Linked DNA regions of Cricetulus griseus. The protein of the gene in region 4 purifies or fractionates together with the protein of the main gene of each other region. This does not show direct contact. Links are inferred from orthologs where the notes say so. Each region holds a gene or a part of one and is shown on either strand. Other genes may lie near its edges. The genes, in order: Pnma2, Ccp110, Cep97, Cep290, Cep76 and Iqcb1.

Region 1 (3,068 bases), on a different chromosome or scaffold from region 4:
GGTTGATAACTTAGCCGTGTAACACTCAAAGACAGCAAAGGAGGACTGATTCCTAACTTCACGGTGTGCTTGTTTTTCTGAGATTCAATTTTTCTTCATTATACCCATTAAAAATTATTTTGAAAGGTCTGAGTGATTCTACTTAGGTTTTTTTTATATATATCTTTTTCTTCTTTTGAGACGAGATTTCTTGGGGGTAGCCCAGATTGAGTTCAAACTTGGCACCCTCCTGCCTTATCTTCACAACAGTTGAGAGTGGCACCACACACAGTGCAGTTGTATTTGTTTTTAAGTATGATTCTCATGTAGCCCAGGCTGACCTCAAAGTCCCTATGAGGTCAAGAATGATCTTAAATTCCTGATCCTCCTGCCTCCACCTCCCAAGTGCTGGGAATACAGGCATGTACCACCATGCCCAGTTTATGTGGTGCTGGAAATTGAACTCCAGGCTTTGTTCACGTATGGTAGGCAAGCACTCTACAGACTGAGGAGTATACCCAGAACTAGGAGGTGTTTTTATTCAAAGTGCAGCAACTATCTTATTTAGGATGTTCTACTAAATTGTGCAGGACTGTCACTTTTTTCCCATCCTTTACTGAACCTTTATATTTTTAATAAGTGCATTCATCTTTATTACTAGATTTTAGGCCTAAAAACACATTGTTCATGTTTGTGTGTAACAGGACAGCTTGATTTGGATGAAGTTCAGACACACCCATACTATTGTACAGAGGTGGGAGACATCTTCCAGAGCTGGAAGCTGAATACATGCTCCTTGATTCTTGAGGAACATTCCGGAACACATAAACAGGTATTTAACTATGTCTCCTAATTTCATCTTTCGAATGGTGAAGGTCTTGAATCCCACCCACTGATGGGGCTTTGGGGTGGAGAGAAGGGGTTTAAGCTGCTCCCCTAGCCCTGAGTACAGTGAGCAAAGAAGGGGGTCCAACAGAGTGGGGTGGACAAAGGTGCAGTGGGAGTCATAGCCCTTGGTCCACCCCTAGCTCCATTCCAAACCACAGTGTGGGTGTGTCCTGGGAAGTAGAGGTCTGCGTAGTAAAAACAAACCTCTGTTTCCGTAGGCGTCCTCACCATCTCGCTGTGTGACGACTTTCCAGAGTTTTGGGTGCTAGAGTGAAAACCACCTCCTCATTGACTGTAGAGACAAAGTGACAGAAACCGGGAGAGGCTGGGTCGAGCAGTCATTCCAGGTGCTTCACAGTGACAAGAGTCAGCACCACACAGCTGCCTGAGGCTCTCAGAAACGGCAGCAAACCCACTGCAGAGCCACGGGGCTGGTAACTGCAGCCTACCCTGTCCACCCAGCAACCTTGCCGTGGGTCCGAAGACACACAGGAAGTGCCTGGTTCTTGACACTGAGTAAAAGGACAGAGCGTTGGTCCGCAAGGCTCTGAGCTACTTGGGAAGTGAGCCAGGCAGGCACTGTGTGCAGAAGCATACCCTAGGGCGATGGCAGTGGCACTGTTGGAGGAGTGGTGCAAGATAATGAGTGTGAGCGATCAGAAGTCACTGATGGTGACTGGCATACCAGCCGACTGTGGTGAGCCTGAGATCCAGGCAGTCCTTCAGGAGGCGCTCAAGTGTGTGGGCAACTACCGCCTGCTAGGCAAGATATTCCAGAAGCAAGACAACACGAATGCTGTCTTACTAGAACTCGTGGAGGACACAGATATGTCTGTGGTCCCCAGTGAGGTGCAGGGGAAAGGAGGTGTCTGGAAAGTGATCTTTAAGACCCCTAACCAGGACAGTGAGTTTCTCCAGAGATTGAACCTTTTTCTAGAAAAAGAAGGCCAGACCATTGCAGGGATGTTCCGAGCCCTGAAGCAGGAGGGAGTGTCTCCAGCTACCCCAACCTGCACATCCCCTGAGTTACTGGCCCACTTGGTGGGGCAGGCAATGGCTCAAGCTCCAAGGCCTCTGCAGCCTGTGAGGTACTGTAAGTTGCGAGTATTCTCTGGGAACACAGTACCTGCCCCGGAGGAGGAGTCCTTCGAGATCTGGTTGGAACAGGCTACTGAGATAGCCAAAGAGTGGCCCATCCCAGAGGCAGAAAAGAAAAAGTGGATGATGGAGAGCCTCCGCGGCCCTGCCCTGGACCTCATGCACATCGTACAGGGAGACAACCCATCCATCAGTGTGGAAGAGTGTCTGGAAGCCTTTAAGCAGGTGTTTGGGAGCCTGGAGAGCCGTAGGAGCTCGCAGGTAAGATACCTAAAGACCTATCAGCAAGAAGGGGAGAAAATCTCAGCCTACGTGCTCCGGCTGGAAACTCTGCTCCGAAGAGCCGTGGAAAAACGGGCTATTCCCCGAAACATTGCTGACCAGGTACGCCTGGAGCAGGTCATGGCCGGGGCCAACCTCACCAATGTTCTATGGTGCCGGTTACGGGAGCTGAAGGATCAGGGCCCACTACCCACCTTTTTGGAGCTGATGAAGGTGATACGGGAGGAAGAAGAAGAAGAGGCCTACTTTGAACATGAGAGCAGGGAGGAGCCAGGGGAACGAGAGGGCTATGGCCGCTGGGACAATTCGAGGAACAACTGAGAGACACCCCTACTCCTGTCACCCCCTGGTGAGCATAGGGACAGTGCTTGATGAGGCTAATCCTATTACAGTGGAATTTTTCTCTAATACACAGGATTGAAGTCAAGCATTAGAACCAGATATTTTCTTTTTTCTTTTGTTTTGACAGGGTTTCAACTTATAGCCCAGGCTGGCCTTGACTTGCACTTTTCCTGCCTCAGGACTCCCAAGTTGAGTTCTGGGATTAGAGGAGTATACCATCACTAGCACCCCATCTCAACTTTTCTTTCTGAGAAAAAAAAAAATGCCTAGACTCTGAGTAGAGTGGTTTGGTGGACTCTTAAGCAGAGTGTAACTGAATACAAGACTAAAGGAACCCTAACATTCCAAACTAACCAAAACGTAAGAGTTAATCCAGTTGGGTAGGTCCATCACCTGGCTAATGGACTGCCCACCAGGAAGGCAGATTCATCTAACTCCATGCTAAAGACAGGGGAGGAATAATTATCCCCTTAATGAGA
Region 2 (3,500 bases), on a different chromosome or scaffold from region 4:
GCACTGGAGTTGCAGGACACATGATTATACCTGGCTTTTTTCATGGAAGCAGGAGCTTTGAACTCAGATCTTATCCTTGTATAGGACTTGTATCCTCTGAGCCATCTCACAGTCCCTTCTGCATTCCTGAATTTGCTATTGTGATTATTTGCATAAAATGTACATAAGTTTAGTTCCACCAATACCCTGCCATGAAGATGGGAGGGGCTTGTGGGGCTCTGCTCCTCCTTGAAGATTTGTACAATTAATGGTTGGTGGAGAGGGAGAGGCATTCTTCTCCTGGTGCAGCCACTGGTAGGGTGCCCATGCTCTTTTAAGCAGCCCTAATGAACTCCTTGGGCCACCAAAACAACAAGGCATGAAAGTAGGAGAGGTGCTAATGAGGAAAGGGAGAGGGGATTGGTAGGAGGAGATGGGCCACCAGAGGGTGACAGGGGTGTGATAAGAGAAATGTTTGGACATGTATGAAAGTGTTATATTGAAACCCCAAATATGTATAATTAATATATTTAAGATGGCTCAGTGGGCAAAGGTATCTGCCACCAAGACTGTTCCCTAACCTATGCACATGCTCTGTCGTACACATTAAAAAACAAAACAAAAATACCCCAAACCACTTTTTGTTATGCTTTTTGAGACAGGCTTTCTTTATGTAGCGCTGGCTGTCCTGGAATTCACTTTGTAGACCATGCTGGCCTTGAACTCAGACATTCCCCTGCCTCTGCTTCCTGAGTGCTGAGATTAAAAGCATGCAGCACCACTGCCAAGCACTACTTTTTTTTTTTTTTTTTTTTTAATGAGACTGGAGAGATGGTTCATCAGTTAGGAGCACTGGCTGTTCCTTCAGAAGACCGGGATTAAGTTCCCAGCGTACACCTGGTTGTTCACAACAGCCTTTAACTCCTGTTTCCGGGAAGTTCTGATGCCCTCTTCTGGACATCATGCATATTACACACATGTGCACGTGAAGGCAAAACACTCATGCATATAAAAATAAATCTTTTTTTGTTTTTAATTTTTAGGACAGGGTTTCTCTGTAGCTTTGGAGCCAGTCCTGGACCTCACTCTGTAGACCAGGCTGACCTTGAACTCTTAGAGATCCACCTGCTTCTGCCTCCCCAGTGCTGGGATTAAAGGCATGAACCACCACTGCCCAGCAAAATAAACCTTTTTAAAGAAAGAACAAGAGCATATTGATATAGAAGACTTAGGTTTATGTGGTAAGCTAGTGCAAAGGTAAAACAATTTTAATTATTTCAACTACTTTGAGAACTTTCTCCCAGTTTCACTTGTTCCATTATAGAAAACAAGTCTGAGAGGTGGGAAATGAAAGCCTCCACTTTAAGAGGCCACAGCAGGGTGGGCTGCACCTGGACATGGGGAGCAAAGTGAGTCTGAGCGCTGTACCAGAGGCAGGGCATGTGGATGCATCTGCCAAGAGGCTCATGGAGATGCGTGAGTTAACTAATCTGGGCACTGGATTAGTAGAAGACTCCTGTGGCATCCCTGTGGAGAATAATAGAGGTGGGACCCCCCTGAGGTGTCAGGCCTTTAGAACTGAGGGTAGTCTTAGGCCCTCAGTTGGCATTTCCCAGCTTTTCCCTGTCTTATTACCATCTGGTCCCTTCACCTCTTATGGTCCTGTGCAGTTCACCACACCAGCCTCTGGCACACGGAATACTCACACAGTAAAGGCAGGGCTGGTAGACCTGCCCATAGGGGACCTTCAGACAGAAAACCTTTTTGTGTGATAAACTACAGATACCTTCTGGTTGAGTCATCTTTGTGAATAAGGGTTATCATTTCTTCTGTTGGTGACAACTTGATGCCTCTCAAGAAGGAGTGAGCTGGTATGAACGAGTTTTAGAAAAGGACTTTAATCTTCCACTCCTGAGTGGGTGAGGCCTTCATTCTCTTCTACAAAGTGCTTATTTATTTTTAGAGACAGACTCTCACTCTAGCCCAGGCTGGCCTCAAACTCATGGCAGTCCTCCTGCTTCAACCTCTCAAGTGTTGGATCACAGATGTGTGTCTTAAAGCATGAGCAGTCTTAAAGCAGCACAGGTCATTTCACTCGTCACTGGCATGCACAAACTGCCCAGCAATTGTTTATCTGCCCCATCCCACCCCAGAACCTCACAGCACATCTGCTGTCTAGTCCCAGCTGTGCTGCTCACAGCCAAGATAGCACGCCTCTGCTTGGCTTTGCTAAATGGGAAGTCACCCATGGGTTATAGCTGTAGGGCTGGCCCCATCCATGTTCGTGTGCTTCCTCTTCACATTCCTCCTCATTGATTATCTTCTTTTGCAGCATCTCATATTGCAATGAGTATTGCCTCCAGGCCTGATTTAACACTATGTACAAATCAAATTCAGCAATATGGTCAAGGTCATTGCCACTGCCTTCCTCTTCATCAGCATCAGAATTTATAGATTCTTCAAATCTGACATTCATTGTAACAAACAAATGCTCTCACAGATAGGCTGTTAGGGTGCCTGGATACCACATGTAAATTAATGATGGGTGTTCAAGTGACTGCTAAGATGGTTTAGACCATCTGACTAAGTCAGGTGGTCTTCCCTTATGGAGAGGATGCAGAAGGCTGCCTACAGCATAGCTTCATGTTTGCAGTCTCAGCATTCTGGGCAGGAGAAGCCTTAAAAACCACCACAGGAGGAGGTAGGGAGACAGGGTGGAGTATAGGGGCTGCTTGCTGTGTCATCAGTAATTGTTTTGTGCTCTAAGTAATTTCTGATGGCAAAAGAGAATAAAAGGAAACTACAGCAATTATAAATCTTCCTAGAAAACTGCTTTTGAAGGAGCGTCTCTTTCTTTCAGGACACTATGGAATTCATACGAAGCTTTCAGTCAGAAGCCCCGCTGAAGAGAGGTGTTGTCTCAGCCCAAGATGCTTCCCTTCAGGAACGAGTGTTAGCTCAGGTAGATGCTTCTGTCCTGAAGGGTTCCCAGGACATTGGTCAGCTCCTAACTGGAGATTCAGGATTGGAAATGTACTTCTTCATTTAACCAGGGAAAATGCGTTTTAGTGAAAACTCCTGTTCTCTCTTATTCTAAATGTAAGATGTGCACACAGTATGCATGTACTACTAAATTGTAGTCTCACCTTTTAAATACAGACATGATTTTCTTCTTAGTTGAGAGCTGCCTTGTATGGTATTCATGACATCTTCTTCGTAATGGATGCAGCTGAGAGAATGTCAATCCTCCATCATGATCGAGAGGCCCGTAAAGAGAAACTGCTCCGGCAGATGGTATGTATGCCATGTGGCTTTCTGATGAAGGGGCTTTTATGAGCTCTGGGGAGGGAGGCTCTGTGTCATTCCCAGTATTTCTGAAGCCAGATAATCCCCAGGATTCCTAGCACCACCAAGCTCTGTGGTGAGCCCCATAGGAACTATAGTAAAGAACCCTTTACTGCAGTGGGATTGGATTTGAGGGCTAAGCCTTGACCACTTGACCATTTTGTTCTGGTAGCTCA
Region 3 (4,256 bases), on a different chromosome or scaffold from region 4:
TAGTGCTTTCATAGCAAGTACTATAACCCACTGAGCCATCTCTGTGGCCCTCACTTTGAGGCAGGGTCTCTTGCTGGCCTGGAACTCATCAAATAGGGTAGGCTGGTTGGCCAGCAAGCCCCAAGGATCTGCCTGTATCCATCTTTTTCTCAGCACGGACTAAGATTACAAGCTCTTGCTGCCAAAAGTTCCCTTGGGTTTGGAGGATTGAACCTGGGTCCACACACTCGCACAGCAAGGACTACACCAACTAAACTATCTCCCCAGTCACTTCTGAATATTTTGAAGATCAAAGTATAGTTAACTAAACTATAGAATAAAATGATTCTCTGATTTCTCAAGGTTGGTGTGAAGCCAAACAATTCACACACAGCCTCAGACCTGGCAGGCAATGCTCAATAAAGCACAGCAGCATGAATTCCAACTATAGCTGTGGTTAACCACTATGGACAAGTTTCCTTCTCTTTTTCTCCTTCATTTTTTCAGTTGGAAAGCTCCCCAAATTAAGGTGTTGCCAAGTTTGGTAACTGAGACCCTTTCTCCTAGAGGCTGGCTACCTCCTCACTGTGTCCTCCAATGTCTTTCCTCTATAGGTGCAAATCGCTGAGTTAACTTTCCTACTCTATGAATTGTGGATGACAATTAACCAGCCATAGTGGTGCATGCCTTTAATTCAGCACTTGGGAAGCAGAGAAACCTGGTCTATATAGTGAGTTCCAGGACAGCCAGAGAGATCCTGTCTTGAAAAAAAAAAAAAAGAAAAAAGAAAAAAGTCATACAGTGGTGGCGCAGGGCTTTAATCTCAGCACTCCAAGAGGCAGAATCATCTCTGTGAGTTCGAAGCTAGTCTAGTCTACAGATCCAGTTCCAGGATAGTCAGGGACTACACAAAGAAATCGTCTCAAACATAAAAGGGGACAGGGGATGAGGCTGAGCCACTTGTGGTAATACACATCTTTAATTTTAGCACTGGGGAGGCAAAGGCAGGAGGATTTCTGTGAGTTTTAGGCCAGTCACAACTACATAATGAGATCCTGTCTTGAGGGAAAAAAATGTGAGAATACAATATAAATATTTTCTACATGAAAACTTGAGATAATATAAGAAAAGTGCTCAAAATATCATCTGGCTTTTAAAAAGTGGCTCTGTGATGAGCACAGGGGTCCAGACCAGGCTTGTGAAACCCACAGAAACAGCTGACCTGAACATCAGGGAGCTCTTGGTCCCCAGTCTGATAGCTGGGATAGTGGGTTTCAGTGAGGAGACCTCAGAAATCTACGGGACCTCCTGTAGTAGATCAGTACTTATCCCTAGCATAAGAATGGACTTTGGGAGCCCATTCCACATAGAGGGATACTCCCTGAGCCAAGACACACGGGGATGGGCCTAGGGCCCTAACCCAAAGGATATGATAGACTCTGGTGACACCCTATGGAAGGCCTCACCCTCCCTGGGGAGCAGAAAGGATATGTGATAGGTAGGGTTTCAGTTGGGGGAGGGGTGGTAGGGGAGGAGGGGAGGGAGAGGGAACTGGGATTGACATGTAAAACAATCTTGTTTCTAATTCAAATTTTTAAAAATGCTGTAAAAAAAAATTGCTCTGTAAATACTAGAGGCTGCTCTCGTCTGTTGTCTTGGAGGGCTAGAGAGTTTTAGGAAAGGCAGCGACCATAGTGGGCGGGGCCAGAGTAACTGCCAATTTCAAATTTACCATCAGACTAGGATACCCTGGGAAATAAATTTTTCGGAACTCTCTTCTAGAAGGTTTCAAAGTTTTTTTCAGTTTTCTTAGCACGGGAGATGTCGTGAGCCGCTTCTTGAAAGATGAAAACTATGCTGTCGCAGAAAAGCGCACCCAGCGTTTGCACACAGTTCCGAAAGGTCGACACATCTTTTAGCCGAACTCCTCCCCTCAAAAATTCAGGGTCCCCAGGTTATGAGCCCCGACTCTATCCCTGTCTGCCCCAATCCAGCCAGCGGCTACCACGCCTCAGAGTGTAACCAAAACAAAAGCTCAGGTCCGGCGCCCCACGGAGGCATCTTCCAGCCACAGGCGCACCCCTCGCCTGCGCTCTGCTAAACAAAGACCAAACTCGACCCCGGGACCCGGCCTGCAGAATGACGGGGGAGCAACGGGTGTCCCGGTCACCCCCAGATTCTACCACGGGTACTGGCCACTTCCAAGGAAGAGTTCAGGCAGACTGTGATGCGGTGGTATCAGATAAGATGCTTCCTGAACGTTCTCGGAACCGATGGGGGAGGGGACAGAGGAAAGAAAGAGACTCTGCCAATTTCCCGTGGGCACTCGGAACTCAAAGTAAACGTCCCAGAAAGGTCGCCGCAGTCCGGAGCCCACTGCCCAGTCAGACTAGGGAGAGCGCGGGACGGGGGCGCCGGGCACCGCGAAGGCTCCTGGGGGCTGAAGTCCCTCATCCAGCCGCCTTCACCGCATGCTGCCAAACCGGACCTGAGAGCGGGACTACAACTCCCAGTAGGTAATGCGCCTCCGCGCTGCCTACAGCCCCGTATCAAAAGAACTGGTCCAAAACTGCACCTCGAAACCCAGGCTTCCTCTTTACACTAAGCAACTATTTAATATGATTTAGTGAAGTAAACTTTGGAGTTCAGGGATGGGAATCGTCCTACCTTCTCCCGGAGCCAGAGCCCCGTCGGCTCGCGCTACCGCCATAGTTGCTGCTTGCTAATGACACCAGCAACCGTCCTCAGCCGTTCTGTAGACTATGTAGTCAGAGGTGGGAAACTGCAAACTACAACTCCCAGGATGCACAGCACTCAGTCGGCCCAATCGGCTGCCTGATGGGAATCACAGGCTAGAAAGTGAGTGTAGTTTAGAAAAAAAAAAAAAAGAGCTTAGGAGACCTTGATAGGTGAGCAAGCTGCATTGTTAGATGAATCTTTTCACTCCAGGGCCAGGTGTTTGAGAAATCTGACACTTTTACCACCTGGCACATTATAAGGATGTTATTTAAAGTAAACAATTTGAGAGCTCTTTGCTAGAAGTCTCTATGACAGCTACCCATTTTGGCAATTCTGAGTTAAGTTTAAAAGATTTGAGATTCGCTATAGGAATGACTAAATATTTTGAGACAGTCAAAATGGACACATTGTATTTGAAATTTCACCTAACTAAATGGTTTTAAAGCTTCAGAAACAGTTGTTACACATTCAACAGAGCTTTTGACTAAGGACTATATTTGATACGTAAGTGCACAGAACTTTTTCTTGAGTGTTCAAAAGTAGTCTAAAATAGCTTCCAAAGTTAAGAATACTTACTTTGCCCAGTTAGAAGGGCACAAGCTTATCCTGTTTTGATTTAACTATGAACTCAGTATGATAGGTAGTGGAAATTACAATATTTGGGAAAGTTAAGCTAGGATTTAAAAGGTAGCTCCGTAGCTCAAAGGGAGCTCTCCCTTTTTTCACCAGCTTGTCTACACACTGACTGCCAGGCTTGCCAAAAGGGCACTGTACAAAGTCTGGGCATTTCTGTTGAGGAAAATCCAGTAACTCAGGCTTCCAGCACTTCTGGTTCATGATTCTAAAAGCATTTTCTCTTCCCTGTATTCCTTTTTCGTTGACATCATTGCCCTTAAAGAACTTTTCTGTTTCCCATTGGTTCAGTCTAAAGATAATTTAATTCTGAAGAAAGAATAAGGATTCCCCTTCTTTTTAACCAAGAGACCCTTTTCTTGGAAAACAGTCTTATTACTTTACATGTATAAATACAAAGCAAGCCAGGCATGGTAGCCCAAACCTTTCATCCCAGCACTGGCAGGCGAGGGGGAGGGCGACAGGGGCAGGCAAATCTGTGAGTTGAAGGTCAGCTTGATCTACTTGGTGAGTTTCAGGGCAGCCAGAGCTACATGACAGAGAAACTCTAGCTCAAAAATGAATTGGCATCTCAGGCAGCTGTGAGCTACCTACCATGTGGGTGCTGGGAACCCAAACCCAATCCTCTTCAAGAGCAAGTAATCTTAATCACCAAGTCATCTCTCTATCCCTACAGATTTTCTTGTTTTTTAAGTAATTTATTTTTTTATGTGCATTGTTGTTTTGCCTACAGTTTTGTCTGATCTTGGAGTTACAGACAGTTGTGAGCTGCCATGTGGGTGCTGAGAGTTGAACTCGGGTCCTCTGGAAGAACAGTCAATGCTCTTAACTGCTGAGCCATCTCTCCAGCCCCAGATTTTCTTTTAATCTCTAGCAAAATCATGTGGCAGCTCTGACAGGACTTC
Region 4 (4,056 bases):
TTTTCTATTAAAAAAATACAAATGTTTCAATTGTTAAATTTCCTGTAATCAGATTTTAAGTGGATGTCAATAAAATAGTACAACATATCAAGTCCAGGGAACAGGCATTCTAGAAATATCTTGACCTGAGTGAGTGAAGTCTTGAGTCTGGGCAAAGCCATGTCAGGAACTCCCAAGCCTCAGAACTATGGCAGATGGCAGAGCCTTCCCATGTCTGAATGTGGATGTTGACAGTGTGTGCAGAAAATGTCAACCACAGCTTTCATCTCCCCTGATGCTCATGGCAGAATCTACTCCTTTCTTCCCCCTGATGCTCAGGCTTCCCTACAGTCTGCTCCTACTGAGATTAGCTCGATCTGCCTCCTTGTTCAACTGTGTACAGAAACCCCACCTCCTAACTTATCTGTAGGTGTCACCTGACTTCATGTTCAGCTATAGGCAACAACCCCGCCTCTCTTCAAGTGTACATAATAACAACACTGAGCTTCTGGGGTGCTGCAGATTCTCCATCAGAGAGCCTAGTCCACCCGAACCCAACTTTTCTTTGTGTCTTTGTGCTGTCTTCACCCTCTTGCCACATTAGTCGGGTCAGTCCCTGAAACGGTGCAAGGACGAAGCATCTTTCAACATGAATTGAGTATGTATTTCATAGAATATGATAAATTAATTTTGTACTGACTAATAAATAATAGAATCACAACAGTTTTTTTTTTTTTTTTTTTTACAAGACATGTACCAAATTTTGCTTGTTCTTCTCCAGCCTTTTCAACTTCTTCCAAAGCTAGCTCTACTTCTTGGGCTTTCATCTAAATATGAAAATGAGAGAGGAAATCTGTATTACTTACACTGTAATATAAACAGTGAAAATGCAAATTTTGTTTCATTTGCTATATCAGTCTTTAGTGTGTACAACAGCTAGCACAGAGACACTCAGTGAATATTTGCAGAATAAATACTTAACCTATAAATTCTGGAATAGCAATTTGAATCATCTCTGATTTTTCCTTTAGGTTTTATAACCACTATTTTAAATGTTTTTCATTATTTTTTACCTATTTCAATTGTTATTATTCTGGTACATAATTTTATTTGTTAAGTCCTTGTTACAACTGGAGCCTCTCAGCTCCAATCCCCTTCAATCTGTACACATCTGTAACACATCTAATTTTGCCTTCTTAAGCACATTTCTGTATCTGTCAATTATGATTCAAAACCTTTATTTGATCCTAAACTGCTAATAACAAAAAATACAGCCTCAAACCCTCAGATAGTATATCCCAAATTACCAACCCAATATCTGTTTGTCCACAGCCTGCAACAGATTTGCTGCATGCACTTACCCTAATGTAAAGAGCAAGTACATATCCTTTCTCATTATTCATTGGTGATGAATTTAGAATCTTCTTTCCATTTCACCATTACCTTCTAGAGGAGACATTGTGCATTTTTACTTGAACCTCTGTTTATATTTGTTACTTTTAAAAAAGCACTCATTTTCCCCTATACACTCTCCAAGAATTTTTAGAATAGTAACTATATTTGCTACACATATTACAACCCACAGCCTTTAAATCTACACTTAACTCATTTTTGAGGGGTGACACAGGCATTCCAAATATTTCCATAAAGATTAGCTTACATAGAAATACATTCTTACATTTCCTATACTGTTAAATATCTCCAGCATACAAACCTTCATCAGTGACTGAGTAATTCTGAATAGATGTACCACGTTTTCTTGATCTTCATCTTTTAGTTCATTTACTTCCACCTAAGGAAACAAAAAATGGATTATTTCATACCCTGTAGTTGTAGGAAGCAATTTCACTTTATCGCATTGTAAGTGTCTATGTACAAATTATTCATTAAAGCACCTTGGATAAGGAAATCAATAAATTATCTGCCAGCTCTTCTTGGCGTGGAAGGTCATCTGGATCAACTTTGATTAATTCTTTCCAGTTTATGCTAGGTGGCATCTTGAATTCTTTCACTGTTTTTCAGCTCCTACAAGGTGACAGGTGGGTTTTAGCATTTCCAAGGAAAATGGCATTGCAGTGTTTACATTATCATTCAAACTCTCTGGGTATTGGCAAAAAGCTATGGCTCCTGAACCGCAAAACAGATGCATGGGCAAACAGCCTTGATGAGAGTCAATCCACCCGGCACAGATTATCCGATAATGTACACGTTAAATTATTACTTGTTTGCTAAAACGAAGTCCTGAGATCCCGAGTCTCCTCTTCCAAGCTCCCTACCATCAACGATGATACCAACTCCCAGGATGTTTGGAAGTTTGAAAACGTCCTCCGATTCTGAGAAGGGGCGAGAGAAATTTAATTTTATTTTTTTAAGTGTACAAATAAAGACTTAACTGGACGAAGTGCGCGAGGAAGCAAGCGGAATCAAAAGGCTGGGAACTGCGGACAGGAGAACAGAAGGGTCGGGTAGGCAGACTGCACACTGTCCCCGAGGATTAGGAACCTGTGAAAGACACTAAGCTGCTGCGGGCTCACCGGGAATCCACCCACCTAAACCGAACCTTGCAACCTGCGGCAGTCGCTCATCTACAGCGACCACCACCGCGGTTTCGGCCGCCGCCGGGGCGTCTCTTCCAAGAGCAGTCCTCGCGCACTCCCGCTCCCGCCAACTCTTCCTCCTGCCCAAGCCAAAGCGGTGGCCGCTGCTAGGCGACACCACTCCCCCGCCCAGCCAAGGCCGGAACTAGGGCCCGGATACTGCGGGCGACTACATTTCACGACGATAAAGGCTTTACGGCTGCACTTCCCCCTTATTCTGGCCTTATTCTGGATGAGGGCAAAGTCATGCGGACGACTCTACATCCCAGAGTGCACTTCGGCAGTGCGGGTGTGCATTCTGGGACTAGAAGTCTTCGTGTGGGGGGGGGAGAGAGAGAGAGAGAAAAAGAGAGCAGCGAGTTCCCGGCGTGCAACGCGGGAAACTGCGGCCGCCGCGGAGAAGCTGGGGAAGGCTTGGGAGGCGGGAGGCGCGGCGGCGGCGGCTGAGGCGCGGCCGCCCTGGGGGCGCTGGCGTGAGGACTATGACAGTGTTTTCCGCGGAGTCCCTCTCCGGTCCACCGTTCCGGAAGCTTCCCTGAACCATCGCCCGGCTGACCCGCCTTCAGGTGAGGTCGGGGTCAGCGGCCGGGAGGAGATCCAGGGAGCACTGGGGCTTTGGGGACGCTCTGGCTTGGGGGGGGCTGCAGGGCCGGCGGGATCCGCCCTCCGCTCAGGTGTGTGCTGGGGGTTCCCAGTGAGTGACTTCCGCGAGAAGGAAGTAGAAACAAAAGTTTCCTGTTTCCCTGGGATCTAACCTGTGCTTCGGGGAAGTGGAGCTGGGCCCCCCCACCCCCAGCTCACGGTCAGGGGTGCGGGGAGCATCGCGGGGGGCGGGGGGGGGACAGGGGAGCAGGCTCTCGGCCCGCCCGCCCCGTGCAGCAGCTTGAGGATTGTAGCCCTTAATTAGGTTGTGAAGTGTGGAGTGAAGGCCGGAGAAAGGGAGCCCTGCAGTTGGGGGGGGGGGGTGGCGGGGGTCCACGTCAAGTTCAGGCATTCTGCTGTCATTTGCTGGGTACCAGTGGGGGGACTCTTAGGCGAAAGCGCTTTCTCGCTTGGGCAACTTTTGCCCACTCCACAGCTGTTGTACACCAACAGGTAACTTAGGAAGGTGTAGGCTATTTAAAACAGTGTGTCTCGTTTACACAGGCGCGCACACAGGCAGTAATTCAAAGAAAAACTGTAGACACTTAAAATTTGCTTTTGAAAAAATTTCTGTACAAAACGTGTGGTTGAGAAAAACAAGAAATAGCTCAGTAAAAAATGGTATTTGGAACAAATATTCAAGACATTAATCAGATTTGTAGGACTGATGACCATGTTTGTTTTTTTCCAAATACTGTTCAATTTCTGGATTATTCTTGATAAGAGGTATAGCAAAATGAGTGCTTACATTGTCCTTGTTCTCCATCTAAGAGATTGGAGAAGCTAAACACTGTTTTCTTTCCACAGCCATTCTAGAAACTGGTATTTGTGAAATAGG
Region 5 (3,500 bases), on a different chromosome or scaffold from region 4:
GAAGTTTTTTATGAGTTGCAATTTAATTTTTTTTTTCTTTTGGATACATACTAAATTTGGAAACCTTTAGAAATAAGGTGTGTAGAAAGCATTCGTTGGCTGAGTTTGTTTTGGGTGTTTGGCAGTAAGGTGAATGCCTTTAATGCCAGTACTCAGGGACAGAAGCAGGTGGATCTCTTGTGAGTTTGAGGCCAGCCTGGTCTACAGAGTAAGTTCCAGGCCAGCCAAGACTAGACAGAGAAACCCTGTCTCAAAAACATCACAAAATAAAAAACAAAAACAAAAAACTAACCTTTCCAATTGATAAATCAACCTGTCATTCAAATGTTTCTGCTGTTACATGAACTGTCCTTTGTGACTATATACTCTATTTACATAACCATGAACACAATTACTACAAAACAGCAGCAGATTAAAGAAACTTGTCTTTTCCAGTTTCACTGACAATAAATGTTAAAAACAGTCTTACTTGCTCACTATACTAGCAACATTTTTAGAGTTTAGAAGATTAGGATCATCCTATATAAGTCAAATTATTGAAATCATTAAAAGTTTAATATCAGGAGCTGGAGAGATAGTGCAGCAGTTAAGAGCATTGGCTGCCATTCCAGAGGACCTGGGTTTCCCAGCACCAACAAGGTGGCTCACAATCCCAACTTCACTTCCAGGGGATTTGGTACCCTCTTCTGGCATCTGTAAGTACTGCATACATGTCATGAACAGAAAAACATGTACTCAAAACACCAATGTACATAAAATAAAATACAATTTTCTCATAAAGTTTAATATCAAACTTATAGAAGTTATTAAATTCTGTTTAAAACTAAAGAAAAATGATTATCATGAAATCCAATAATTATTCTCATAATTATTCTGTTTATAAATTTTTGTTCTTTTGTTTGTTGTTGTTTTGGTTTTTTTTTTTTTTTTTTTTTTTTTTTTTTTGAGATAGGGTTTCTCTGTGTAGCCCTGGCTGTTTTGGAACTCATTCTGTAGTCCAAGCTGACCAAGAACTCACAAGAGATCTGCCTGATTCTGCCTCCCAAGTGCTGGGATTAAAGACCTGCACACCACAATCCACCTAAGATTTTTGGTGGGTTTTTTGTTTGTTTGTTTTGAGATACAGTCACACTATGTAGCCTTGGCTTGACCTGGAGCTTGCTATGTTCGCTATACCGGTCTCACAGTCACAGAGAACCACCTGCCTTTGTGCACTACCACATCCAGATGTTCTGTTTTTGAGACAAGATCTTGCTATACAGCACAGACTGGCCTGGAGCTTTCTGTATCCAGACTAGCCTTGAAATCCATGATCTTTTGCCCCAACCTCCCAAGTGTTGTGGTTACATGAGACAACATATTCAGCTCTATGAGTTTGTTTCTATCAGAATAACATTCTATTAGATAAGAAATTACAAAAATAAAGATGGTAAGTGTTAAGTGCTGATATGTAATGTTACAGATAATAGTAAGATTTGTCTTGTTCAGATTGATAATACATACATTTTCAAGGAAATTCTCTTATAAGTATGCTATAAATTAAAAAAACTTATGATAATGAATACTGCTATTAGTTATGTCTATTTGATACCTTGTTTCTACAGAGAAAAGCCAGCAGAGTGCACCACTGCTCCTGTTTGCCACCTCCTCCAATAACAGGGGCTCGTTCGTAACCCAGGACGTTAACAAATCGTGCTGCTTGCCTCGGAGTATCCAGAAGCCGTCCAGCTCGAAGAGGTTTAACATAGGAACAGACTGGTCTATTTATCCCGTTCTCATCCTGGAGGAAGAAGGGGAAAACATTATTTGCAACAACAAGCTAATCATCCCAAGTGTCACATCTATTATTCTGTAGATAATTCTGGACGACATTTATTGAGTGTGCATCTAGCACTAGGCTACTAAGGGCTGACTAACATCTTTTAAGTTCTCATAAGGCCTATTTTATTCTCATTTCATAAATGAAATAAACTATAGCAGTTATATAATGGAGACAGATTTTGTTTTCTTTTGTTTCTCAAGACACGGTTTATCAGTATAGCCCTGGCTGTTCTGGAATCACTCTGTAGACCAGGCTGACGTCAAACTCATAGATCACCTGCCTCTGTCTCCTGAGTACTGGGATCAAAGGCATACACTAGAGCCAGGATTTTTAAAGTCTAAGCTGTCTGACTCCAAAGCTTGTGGGAGTTAAGAGCTGCTCTGAAAAAGGGTTAGCAGATAGACAAGGGAAGGGCAGAGCATCTAAATCTAAACCAAAGTAATCTTCCATATTACCACACAGAACTTTATATCTAGACAAAAGAAATTTTTTGTTTGTTTTGTTTTTTGAGACAGGGTTTCTTTGTGTAGCTTTGGCTTTATTTCTAGATAGGAAGAGTCCTAAATTAGGACTCTTATTCCCTAGCTTCCTATCTAGAAATGAAGCCACCTGTAGTTTGTCCCAATGATTAGGGAATGTAGATATATACACACACACACGAATGCATACATCTGAGACACTTATGTCATAATCTAACACTGTACAGAAACTGAACATATATAAACTATTTGATCTATTCCTCAGAATCTATACCTATATACTAAGTAGAAACTATACTTTAAATTTTGATCTCTAGACTAGTAATATGTAGCATGTAGTATTTCTTGCTGCTGAGCAACCACAGCTCTACTGTGTCACCTGACTGAAAAGGTAAACAACTGATATCCCTTAGTGTATTATGTTGCTAAGCCTTAACAGGGCAGGTCAGCAGTATTAAAATGGCATTTTCAACCTAACGACATGTTCATAAACATAAGACTGCATCTTGAGTCAAGGTGCATCTGTAGCTGAAATTGTGCAGTTAAACATCCCTGGTCACTGGTTTAGAAATACTGGTTTTTACACAATTAATGCACATGTTGTAAAAATATTTTATATTATTTTTACCACTGTGTCTATATGATGTGTCTGTGACCATGTGGCCCAGCACATCTGTGAAGGTCAGAGAACAGCTTTGTGGAGTTGGTTCTCTCCTTCTACCTTCGGATGAGTTCCAGGGATTGAACTCAGGTTGTGAGTTTACACAGCCAATGTTTCACTCTGAGACATCTCAATGGCACAATACTGTTTTTCCACCTTTTTTTTGTAAAAAATAACAGACACACTGTATGTCCAGGGTTCAATTTGCATATAAGCCATAAAGTATCCAAATGTTTAATCAATTTTAAGTATCATAAAAAAGTATATTCCAAACTAACAAAGATTGTATTATGCCATTGACCTAGCCAATAAAAGATAACTATTTTAGAAATAAACATTCATTTGTGAAATGAAAATATTTTTCAAATGAAAAGTATTTACAGTACTACAGTGTAAATATAGGGTTGAAGCTTTTCTAACATAATACACAAACCTGTGCAAAAATCTTTACCAGCCGTGAGTTGTGTGAGGGTCGAATTTGCAAATACTCTCTCCACCACTGCTTAGCATAGACCAGAAATAATCGTTCTTTCTCTGC
Region 6 (3,500 bases), on a different chromosome or scaffold from region 4:
GAAAATAAAATGGAAAAATAATTAGTGTTTTTTTTTTTTAATTTGAAACACAACCGTGTTCCATGGATCTTATTTGACTCTTTTTTTTTTTTTTTCTTGGTTTTTTCGAGACAGGGTTTCTCTGTGTAGCTTTGGAGCTTATCCTGGCACTCACTCTGGAGACCAGGCTGGCCTCAAACTCACAGAGATCCACCTGCCTCTGCCTCCTGAGTGCTGGGATTAAAGGCATGCGCCATCAATGCCCGGCTTATTTGACTCTTGACTGAAAGAGATTTAAAAATTCATAAAACACTTAAGTGGTTGGAATGGTTGTCTGGTTTCTTGATGAAATTAAGAGGTAATTTTCATTAAATGATATAATGATTATGCATTTTTGTTCATTAGTTCTTTTAGGCTATATATATGCATCTGTATATATTTATGTGTATTTGAAATGTTTATGAATAAAATAATCTGGTGTCTTAGATTTGTTTCAAACTAAAATGGAAGTAGATGGTATAGGTAAAACAAGTTTAGCCATGAATTGATTTTTAAAATTAATTAACTCATGAAGATTTATTACATTATCCTGTCTGCTTTTAAGTATGTTTGAAACTTTTATTGCAAAAATTTAAATAAATTATAGGCCCTTTTGTGAATGTGGTAATGGAGTAGGAATTACTGTACCAAGTACTCATCTACTTTGAAACTAAGGAATTACAAGGCAAACAGTATAAAAATAAGAGGCAGTAACTCCTTTATAGTTTTCAGTGGAGGAAAAGGAAAGTTTATGAACTAGATGCTGTATAATTTTAGTAAATTCCTGGATACTTCTAGAGTTATTAGTAAAATATGGCACACAAATAGAAGATACACTTGTTGTAGTTATTGGGAGCCCATTTCCTATGGAGGGATACTGCTGCAGGCCAGATACATCAAAGATGGCCTAGGCCCTCCCCCAAACAATATGATAGACTTTGAAGGTCCTTGGTGGAGGGCCTCACTATCTCTGGGGAGGAGTGAGGGGGAGTTGAGTGGGGAACATGGGAGGATGGGAGGACGAGGGAATGGGGGGATGCATATGTCAATATGAGTAGTAATTAAATAATTTAAATTAAAATGTAACAATGTAAAATATATAAGTATACTTTTTTCTAAATTGTTAAAAAGTATATATAGTGACTAATTGGACTATAAGTATAAATGAAGAATAGGAGTTGGTGTGAAAAAGAGCAAATCTGATCTTTCAGGAGATAGGAAAGGAAAGAATAAAGATATTTTTAGAAAAGCCAGGGTAGTCTTATCAGGGCAAGCTTGAAACATATCTGATCTCACTTTTAATTATTCTTGTGCTCAGCTGATGTAAGCAACAGAAACTGACATTTCTTGGGAACATAGTCTTTTCTGGTACATTATGCCTTAGTATAGTATGAGAATTATGTATTTCTAGTTTCACAGATGATGAAATGGAGATTGTGGGAGATTGTCTTAGTTAGGATTACTATTGTGCTTATCTGATGAGCAAAAGCAACTTGGGGAGGAAAGGTGTTTATTAGGCTTACACTTCCACATCACTGTTCATCATTGAAGGAAGTCAAGACAGGGACTCAAACAGGGCAGGAACCTGGAGGCAGGAGCCAGTGCAGAGTGCTGCATACTGGTTTGCTCCTTATGCCTTGCTAAATCTGCTTTCTAATAGAAGCCAGAACCACCAGCCCAGGGTTAGCCCCACCCACAATAGGCTGTCTTCCCATATCAATCACTGATTAAGAAAATGCCCTACAGTCTTGCTAACAGCCTGATCTTATGGAGGCATTTTCTCAATTGATGCTCCCTCTCTGACTCTAGCTTGTATCAAGTTGACATAAAATAGCCAGGACAGATGTAGCCAAGTTAGAGGTTAAGCAACTCATGTATGGACTGAGCACAAAATTTTTGTAACTGGCTAATCAGAGCCTGAAAATCAGAAACCTAAAAAAAATATTCGGTGTTTTATTATTTAGTTAATGAAACTCATTGCTAGAAAAAAAGATTCAGATTTAGGAGATGTTATGTTCAACTTAAAAGAAGTAATAACGAATTTTTAGCTTGGTATTTCTAGATGCCCCAATGACTCTAATTTCATAAAAATGGAATGACTCTTAACTTTATGGTCATTTAAAACTGCCTGTATCTATAAAACTATTTTAGGGTTTATAATGCCAAAAGTTTAGCACAAATGAGCATGCTTTGATTTGATTTAAAAAAGACAATCTTATTTAGGTTATTATAGAGTCTTTAACATTTCTTTTTCTCTCTGTTCTTTTAGTACTGCAGAGTGATCATTTCTTACACTTACTGCAAACTGACAATGTTCAAATAGGAGCTACAGTCATGTCTCTGCTACAGAATATACTGCAGATCAACAGGTGACTTAATTTACACAATTTTTAATCAGAAACATTACTAATTTTATTATAATTTGTCAATCTTTTACAGACAATGTGTACATGAAATTTAAGTTCTCTTCTGATTGACTTTTGGAAAAAGTTCATATAAAATACTGCAAGAGGTTAGAAATTTGTTATCAAATTGTTATCTCAGAGGGCTAGAAAATCTCAGGCTTAGAAGAAAGAATTGGAGTGATACCTAAAGAAAAATAGTAGGATCACAGTAAAATTAAACAGGGGAATTAGTCATTATTTCACTCAAGTATGGGTTTATTTATTGGCTACTGTGTGCCACAGTTACTCTGTTTCTCATTATATTTGCAATGCTTATTCAAATATAAATCTTGTCTTCAATGAGTGAATATTGAGACAGACATAGTTATATTTTTACATATTAATTTGCAGTGTTAAATTATCTACAAGTATTAAAAGTGCTTCTTACCCAAACTGAGTGAAAATGCATCCTAAAGAAATTAAAATCTGAGATGAAACTTCAAAATTGTATAGGGAGGATGAAGATAAAGCAGGAGAAAGAAAAAAGTAACAACATATGCAAAAGTCAGAGATAAGAAAGAAATATTATGCTGAGGGTAAAAAGTAGGGATGATTCATCTTGCTGGTATTTAAAGTTCAGTATTAGGTATGGCCAGCAAATTTTGAAGGGATTTACATTATAAAATATTGATATGCTATGTTAAGAAAACAATCATATTCTGTAGGAAATGGGGACCATTGAAGTTTTGGTTTTTTATTTTAAGTAGATGGATATGGTCTGATTACATTTCAGTTTTATTACTCTAGTTACTAATGGAGAGAAGATGAGAACAAAACTCTAATCCAGTGGTTCTCAACTTTCCTAATGCTGCAAGCCTTTAATATAGTTCCACATGTTGTGGTGACCCCCTTACCATACAATTATTTTATTGCTCCTTCATAACTGTAATTTTGCTACTGTTATGAATTGTAATGCAGATATCTGATATGCAGGAGAGCTGATATTCGACCCCTAATTACTGGGTCCAGCTGACGAATCTGTAATTTCTGAGAAGGGGAGTGTTGATTGAGGGAAGAAATAGACAAGAGACAGTAGAT

What was found.
Region 1: the proteins of Cep290 (region 4) and Pnma2 purify together in Homo sapiens (co-immunoprecipitation; 3 studies listed by BioGRID and IntAct, with this or other methods). This does not show direct contact. The link is inferred for Cricetulus griseus from reciprocal best matches to the Homo sapiens genes CEP290 and PNMA2.
Region 2: the proteins of Cep290 (region 4) and Ccp110 purify together in Homo sapiens (co-immunoprecipitation; 6 studies listed by BioGRID and IntAct, with this or other methods). This does not show direct contact. The link is inferred for Cricetulus griseus from reciprocal best matches to the Homo sapiens genes CEP290 and CCP110.
Region 3: the proteins of Cep290 (region 4) and Cep97 purify together in Homo sapiens (co-immunoprecipitation; 4 studies listed by BioGRID and IntAct, with this or other methods). This does not show direct contact. The link is inferred for Cricetulus griseus from reciprocal best matches to the Homo sapiens genes CEP290 and CEP97.
Region 5: the proteins of Cep290 (region 4) and Cep76 purify together in Homo sapiens (co-immunoprecipitation; 5 studies listed by BioGRID and IntAct, with this or other methods). This does not show direct contact. The link is inferred for Cricetulus griseus from reciprocal best matches to the Homo sapiens genes CEP290 and CEP76.
Region 6: the proteins of Cep290 (region 4) and Iqcb1 purify together in Homo sapiens (co-immunoprecipitation; 8 studies listed by BioGRID and IntAct, counting the BioPlex papers as one, with this or other methods). This does not show direct contact. The link is inferred for Cricetulus griseus from reciprocal best matches to the Homo sapiens genes CEP290 and IQCB1.

Annotation. Positions count from the first base shown.
Region 1 is NW_023276807.1:221,896,187-221,899,254, forward strand, and holds Pnma2 (paraneoplastic antigen Ma2), read left to right. Parts: upstream 1-1,473; coding exon 1,474-2,568; downstream 2,569-3,068.
Region 2 is NC_048596.1:81,879,961-81,883,460, reverse strand, and holds part of Ccp110 (centriolar coiled-coil protein of 110 kDa), read left to right. Parts: intron 1-2,839; coding exon 2,840-2,941; intron 2,942-3,156; coding exon 3,157-3,273; intron 3,274-3,500.
Region 3 is NC_048597.1:36,122,897-36,127,152, reverse strand, and holds the start of Cep97 (centrosomal protein of 97 kDa), read right to left. Parts: upstream 2,801-4,256; 5' UTR 2,690-2,800; coding exon 2,647-2,689; intron 2,590-2,646; exon of another isoform or gene 1,712-2,589; intron 1-1,711. UniProt on the Homo sapiens protein: Acts as a key negative regulator of ciliogenesis in collaboration with CCP110 by capping the mother centriole thereby preventing cilia formation. Required for recruitment of CCP110 to the centrosome.
Region 4 is NW_023276806.1:166,062,361-166,066,416, reverse strand, and holds the start of Cep290 (centrosomal protein of 290 kDa), read right to left. Parts: upstream 2,801-4,056; 5' UTR 2,529-2,800; intron 2,313-2,528; exon of another isoform or gene 2,201-2,312; intron 2,005-2,200; 5' UTR 1,977-2,004; coding exon 1,875-1,976; intron 1,772-1,874; coding exon 1,694-1,771; intron 1,426-1,693; exon of another isoform or gene 1,383-1,425; coding exon of another isoform or gene 1,341-1,382; intron 807-1,340; coding exon 737-806; intron 5-736; coding exon 1-4. UniProt on the Homo sapiens protein: Involved in early and late steps in cilia formation. Its association with CCP110 is required for inhibition of primary cilia formation by CCP110.
Region 5 is NC_048595.1:171,781,427-171,784,926, reverse strand, and holds part of Cep76 (centrosomal protein of 76 kDa), read right to left. Parts: coding exon 3,396-3,500; intron 1,781-3,395; coding exon 1,592-1,780; intron 1-1,591. UniProt on the Homo sapiens protein: Centrosomal protein involved in regulation of centriole duplication. Required to limit centriole duplication to once per cell cycle by preventing centriole reduplication.
Region 6 is NC_048597.1:53,142,220-53,145,719, reverse strand, and holds part of Iqcb1 (IQ calmodulin-binding motif-containing protein 1), read left to right. Parts: intron 1-2,287; coding exon 2,288-2,387; intron 2,388-3,500. UniProt on the Homo sapiens protein: Involved in ciliogenesis. The function in an early step in cilia formation depends on its association with CEP290/NPHP6.